2 linked regions of the Ovis aries genome follow. The protein of the gene in region 1 purifies or fractionates together with the protein of each later gene. This does not show direct contact. Links are inferred from orthologs where the notes say so. Each region holds a gene or a part of one and is shown on either strand. Other genes may lie near its edges.

Evidence for each region. The genes of interacting proteins can lie anywhere in the genome.
Region 2: the proteins of SYTL4 (region 1) and RAB3A purify together in Homo sapiens (affinity purification with mass spectrometry; 3 studies listed by BioGRID and IntAct, counting the BioPlex papers as one, with this or other methods). This does not show direct contact. The link is inferred for Ovis aries from reciprocal best matches to the Homo sapiens genes SYTL4 and RAB3A.

The regions. Positions count from the first base shown.
Region 1 is NC_056080.1:132,458,782-132,461,140, reverse strand, and holds part of SYTL4 (synaptotagmin-like protein 4), read left to right. Parts: intron 1-1,331; coding exon 1,332-1,480; 3' UTR 1,481-2,359. UniProt on the Homo sapiens protein: Modulates exocytosis of dense-core granules and secretion of hormones in the pancreas and the pituitary. Interacts with vesicles containing negatively charged phospholipids in a Ca(2+)-independent manner.
Region 2 is NC_056058.1:4,780,514-4,784,804, forward strand, and holds the start of RAB3A (ras-related protein Rab-3A), read left to right. Parts: upstream 1-1,473; 5' UTR 1,474-1,609; intron 1,610-2,728; coding exon 2,729-2,956; intron 2,957-4,100; coding exon 4,101-4,219; intron 4,220-4,291. UniProt on the Homo sapiens protein: The small GTPases Rab are key regulators of intracellular membrane trafficking, from the formation of transport vesicles to their fusion with membranes.

The DNA.
Region 1 (2,359 bases):
AAAATTTTGTTTTCATCATTTTAGAATTTTCACGCTATTTAACATAGCTGATCACTCCCTTTTTCTTGAAATAACTTAGCTTCTGTTGACACCACACTTTTCTGTGGGGCATCCTCATCCTCTAGCCAAACTTTCAATATTGGTGGTTCTCAAGGCTTAGTCTTGAATACTCTTTTCTGTCGCTACAGTCTGCATTCCTGTGACTGAATATTACTTGTATATTGTTAATTCATACAAAGTATTTAACACAAAGCATCTAGAGTGATGTTCTTACAAATGTAAGCCAGTTCATGTCAGTCCCATGCTTAAAACCCTTCAGGAGCTCCTACTGTACTTAGGAAACAACCCAAAGTTCTCACCATGCCAAGAGGCCCCTCTGTGATCTGGACCCTCTGTTCATTTCTTATCTGTCCTGTAATACTGCTTGCTCACTGTGCTCTAAACATGCTGACTAGCTTTGTGTCCTCCAAATATACCAAGTTTCTCCCCACTTTATAACCTCTGCTATTAGTGTTCTCTCTGTCTGGAAGGGCTGCTTCCTTTCTATCCTTCAGCTCCTGACTCAAATATCTCCTCAGAGGGGCCCAAAGACCACTTCATCTAAGGGAGATGCTGACCTAGGCACTACAAATCACTCTGTTTATTTACTTTATGTTGATTATCTCACTCTTGTTGGTTTACTTCTGTATTTTCTATCTTCTCTATTCAAACATAAGCTGCCTGCAGGCAGAACTTTTTCTGTGTTGTTCACACTGTACCTCCAGAGCCTGGAAGAGTACTTAGTACACAGCAGCCACTTGATAAATGTTCCTGAATGAATGAATGTACAAGAGAATAGAAATGAGGCCCTGCATGATCGAAACTTCAAGCCTGGAGTCTGCAGCTAGAAAATAAAAGTGTTCAGCTCTCTTTCTTCCTTCGTCCCTCTTACCCTCTGTGTCTCCTTTCCTCCCTGCTTTCTTCCTCTCTCCCTCTTTCTTCCTTTCTTCCTCCCTTCCCTACATTCCCCTCCTCTCCCTTTCCATCATAAGTCAACTTGGCAGTAACAGAATGGCCCTAGCTGTAATAGCCTTAGAATAAGAGGTCTCGAGCTACCGTGTGCCATTTGGAGCCCTATTTTATCAACTTTAAGTCTCTTGATGGAATCTCAGGAGCAGAGAAATATGGCAGTGCAGAGTCAACAGGGAGCTGTTCCCAGAACACTGTCCCCATTAGCCCATCTTCATAGCGCACTGTCTTTTATGGGATGCTGCCCTTAATGCATAGCGCATCTTCCTCGGCAGGCTGAGGAGTAGGATCTCTGTTCAGCCTCCTCTGGTGTTTTTCCTCAGGGATCAGTAACGGGGAAGTGGTGGACTGGATGGACTCAACTGGGGAAGAAGTGAGCCTGTGGCAGAAGATGCGACAGTACCCAGGGTCTTGGGCCGAAGGGACTCTGCAACTCCGTTCCTCAATGGCCAAGCAGAAGCTGGGCTTGTGAGCCCTGTCCTGCTCTGCAGGTCCATCCCTGTCCAGGGCAAGTCAGAGGAAGTGAAGAAACCAAGGGTGAAGATTTATAATTTGTGTGTGTGTGTGTGATGTATGTGTGTGTATGTAAATGTGTATTTCTACAGCCCTCATTATGCTAGAGTGATGTAGACTTCCCCTTTTTAAAGCAGGCTCAAGAATAAGGGTCTCTTCAAAATATTTTTATTTGTGCATTAACTACTATATATTTTCAGAATCCTGGATTCTTATATCTTTATGAGATTTCATTTATCTTTTAAAATAACTTGTTAATCACCTGTCTTGTTATCCTGGTTCCTCCTTCCATAGGAAGCCCTGGCTGCCTTTGGCACTTGTACTGGTCTGTGTTTCAGGGTATGCCTGGTCTGACGCCAGGGCTCTGGGAAGCAGGGGTGGTTTACTAAAGACAGAAGAAGATTGGAGAGAGGTGACTGGGTCCCTTCTCTCTCCTCCATTTTATGCTTTTCACTCCATTTCCACCTTGACACATTTCTGAAACTTAGTTTTTAACTCTTGTTTGGAGCAGTTTCCGCCTTGCTTGAGTCTAACAGTTTTCCTGGAAATGCTAAGAAGTCTAAGTTGCTTCCAGTTCTGAACACCTTCCCTAGACCTCTGCAGGACCCTTATGATAGAGTTGCTTTAGAAGAGCACTTTAGTTAGATAATGGCCTTTGGACTAGGTCACAGGCATGCCCAGTACAGGCTTTTCAGTGGTTCCAGAGGACCAGCAATGGAGGATCTCTCAGCCCGTGCTGATTCTTTGCATTTTAAACTGATATAGCAGTTGTTAGAAAGCTCCTAATGGAATAAAAGGCATTTTCGCTCTCACATACCACATCTTTTGTATTGTTTGT
Region 2 (4,291 bases), on another chromosome or scaffold:
CCCCTCGTCTCCAGAGGAGGAATCAGGGAGATCAGAATTTGCCTGGGGCCACACGCCCCCTGCCGGGTGTGGAGACCGGAGCTGGGCGGACGGTAGCGCCCTGGAATGGAGGCCGAGGTCTCGTTCTTCCGCGCCAGCCCCCATTCTGACTTTTTCACATCAAGATCGTTGGGGGATGACGGGTCATCTTGGACCCCAGAGCCTCCATCTCTGAGTCTAGTTTTGCCAGGATGGTGGAGGGAGGACTCTCCATCCCTGTCTTTTAGCTCAGGAGTCCAGCAGGAGCACAGCATCTCCTTCCCCACCCCACTCCTTTATTGCAGGGTCTTTAAACCTCACTGTTTCCTACTTTTGGGGGGTTGTTGTTGTTGTTTGTTTTTTGTTGTTGTTTGTTTTAACCGCAGACTTTGCGAGATTAGGGGACAGGCTGTTTTCCTGCCCTACTTCCGCCATTTGAATTTTTCTCTGGAAATGGGGCGCAGGAAGGAGAGGGGTTCCCGGAGCGTCCGTCAGCCCCTTCTTTTCCGGCAATTGGTGGCGGAGGGTGGCTCTCTTGATCCCGATTTCTCCTTTCTTCATCTCAGAAACAGGGTGGAGCATCTACTAGCCCCACCCCCTTCAGGGGTCTTGAGTGTGTTAGTCGCTCAATGGTGTCCAGTTCTTTGCGACCCCATGAACTGTTATACAGCCCACCAGGCTCCTCTGTCCATGGAATTATCCAGGCAAGAATATGGAATGGGTAGCCATTCTCTTCGCCAGAGGATCTTCCCAACCCAGGGATCGAACCCAGGACTTCCGCATTGCAGTCAGATTCTTTACCGTCTGAGCCACCAGGGTACATATCAGCAATGAGACAGGGTCTATCTTGATCCCTATTTCAGCTATTTCTTCTTTTATACTTACTTTGAACCCTGTAAATAAGAGATATAGAGCACTTTCTCGAACCTCGCTTCCTCTTTTCTGAAATTGGGAATAGGGGGAGTTTAATGAGCGGTCACAGCACCTTGGACTGAACGGCTACCTCCCGAGTCTAAGACCTGGGGTGCGTGGGGGCGGGGAAGGGGAACGCCCCCAGAAGACTCAGGCTCAGTTGAGGCCTCAACCTCTGGGCCCTTCAATCGCCCGGAAACCACCATTGGACAGGAGGAGGGGTTGGCAATCTTTGACTGGTTACTTACCCTGTCGCTCGAGCACTTAAGCCAGTGAGAAGGCGCTGCGAAGCCCCGCTTCCCTTATACTGTAGAGAGGCGGAGCCAGCAAGCGATTCCTCCCCTCCTGCACCGCTTCTGCTAGCTACTGGATGCGCTCTCTGGGCCCCGCCCCGTTCTCGCCTCAATCTGTGCAAGAGCCCCGCCCCTCCCGGCTCTGCCTGCGACAGTAGACCGTATCTCCATCAGTGGCTCCGCCCTAGAATGGCATCACGGCCGTATCTGCATGTGAGGCCCCGCCCCGCCCTTTGCAGGACGTCACCGAGGACTGCAGGGGCCTCAGCCGCTGCCGCCGCCTCCGCTGCAGCGCAGCCCCACATCAGCACACCGGGGGCCCCGTCACCGCCACTGCCAAAAAAGTCGCCGCCGCTAGGGTCGCCACAGCATCAGTGCAGAACAAGGTGAGCTCCCAGGCCTCCAGGTGCGCTTCCGCGCCGAGCACCTATATAACCTTGATTTGACTGGTGGTCTGCTTGGGATAGGGGACGAAGTTGGCCAGCCTTAAATGAGGCAGAAGGATGCTGCGGTCGCGAGTCTGGGGAGGGGGAGGGCCTCGGCTCCCTCTACCTGCCCTGTCCTCACCCCCACCCCCATCCCTCCATCCCCGGCTCTGCGGTGGAGGGGGAGGGGAGATGAGGCGAGTGCCTTGCGGGAAGCTGTGCGCGCGGGAGGCTCTGCGTGCGCGTGCGCGTGGAGTGCACACTCGTGTGCGCGCCCGCCTGTGCAAGAGGGTCTGTGTGTACCCTTGCTTGTTTATCAGGGTATGCTCCTGCATACCTTGGGGATCCCGACCCAAGACTGTGAGTGTTACAGGCATGTGGAGGCAGACGCGTGGACTGCTCGTGTGCGCGCACAAGTGTGCCTATGTGCACAGAGATGTGTGCCCGTGTAGGTGACGTGTACTGGGCTGCATGGGTGGAGGACGCATTGCGCACGGTGGGTTTTCACATTTGTATATACATGTTGGCGTGCAGACAGGTGTCTGGCTCTTTCTCGTGCATCGAGCTTGTCCCAGTATGTGCCCTGCTGTGTGCACGTGAGCGTGTGCACGCCGCGTGCCTGTCACGTGATATAGCTGTCACAGCTCGAGCTCTCCCAGCCTGGGAGTCTGGGAGAAGGACGGCAGACACGCGTCCCCGCGGTACCGTACACGCGTGTGCACGTGCGCCCGCGAGGCTCAGTTCTGAGGAACATGAATGATTGATGGGGGGCGGGGCCGGCCGCAGTTGGTCACCTCTTCTGGCGCAGCTGTAGGGCTTAGGTTACAACCAGGTCCGGGGTGCAGGCCTGCTGGAGGGGGCTGCAAGGTGTCTCCATCCCCTTCGCTCTGAGGTCCTCCCCTGGAACCTCAGGCCTTTCAAGGTCACGGCCCGCCCTCTGCGGTGGGGCGCGCCGTTAGCACTGGGGCTCCTGATGGGATAAGAGTAATCTCTGTCTCTCGCTGGGAGCTCTCTAGCCTGAGCCTGGGCGTTTGGGGACGGAGGGGATCCCTCACCTTCGCCTACGCCCCACACCTGCAGATGGCATCCGCCACAGACGCTCGCTATGGGCAGAAGGAATCTTCGGACCAGAACTTCGACTACATGTTCAAAATCCTCATCATCGGAAACAGCAGCGTGGGCAAGACATCTTTCCTCTTCCGCTATGCAGACGACTCCTTCACGCCTGCCTTTGTCAGCACTGTAGGCATCGACTTCAAGGTCAAGACCATCTACCGAAACGATAAGAGGATCAAGCTGCAGATCTGGGTGGGTCCAGCTGGGGGGCCTTCTGGCTCCATCACTCTCCCCCCACCAGGAACAGCAGCCCCAGCTCTGCCTATTTCTTTCCTGTCTAGATTCACTCATTACATACTGGGCATTTATGAGGTGCTTACTGTGTACCAGGGGCTAGAGGCACAGAAGAGAGTGTCCGGTTTCTCCCATCAGTGCTCTCCAGGGGTGGGGAAGGGGTAAATGCTGGGTCCTGTCCTACCCCTGACATCATCAGATGCATCGCTTGCTGAGTGCCTCAGTTTCCCCATATTCAAGTTCCTCCATGAGTGTCTGGATGAGGTTTCAGAGGGATCCTGACCCCCCAGCCTCATTCCCTGGGCCAAGAGCAGGCTCCTCCACCAGGGTCTTCAGGCCACCTCCCTCAACACCTCTGGGTCCTAAAGGGATCTGATAAATCCCAAGCCAGAGCTGGTTGTTCCCTGCTCTCAGTCCTTCCATGGCCCCCACCTCACTCTTGGTAACACCTGCAACCTTCCCTTGGCTGAGGAGACCCTGCCTGGTCATCCCCTGTTGATACCTCATCTCATCTGTCTCCCTCCATCTCCTCAGCCTCTTCATTGTTCCTCAAATGTACCAGACCCAGTTCCACTTTAGGGCATTTGCCTAGACTTTCCTTCTCCCGACCCCTGTATGACTCCCTCCCTCATCCTTCAAGTTTTTAAATTGTCCCCCAACCCACACTGCCCATCCTTGCCTGGTTTTTTTTTCTTCTCCTGTCTCATTACTTTCTGACAATACATTTCTGTGAGCTGAGGATGCATTTTCTTTCTTGTCATGGGTTGATTCTCTGTTTCCTGCACAGAGCTGTCAATTCCAAAAGGGCAGTGATTTTGGCCCATTTTGTTAATGACTGTGTCCTCAGGGCTCAGCACAGGGTGTGGCACAGGTCCCTGTGTGTCAAATGAATGAAGGAATGATGCTGTAGGTACCTTGGGATCACTGGTACTACATTCCCTGGGATAGGCAGCCGACTCACTCTTCCTGACCCACTGTGCCTCTGGGCAAGCCCCTGCTCCTCTAAGCCTCAAGGGGGCTGGCCTCCACCATCTCAGAGTTCATTCCCATGCTGAGGAACTTCCATGTATCTCCTCTCTGACACCCCACCTCTTCTTCCCAGGACACAGCGGGGCAAGAGCGGTACCGGACCATCACGACAGCCTACTACCGGGGCGCCATGGGCTTCATCCTCATGTACGACATCACCAACGAGGAGTCCTTCAACGCTGTGCAGGACTGGTATGTGAGCCCCCACCTGCCCTCTTCTGAGCCAGGCTTCGTGTAAAGCCTGGGGTTCAGGCCGAGACCAGA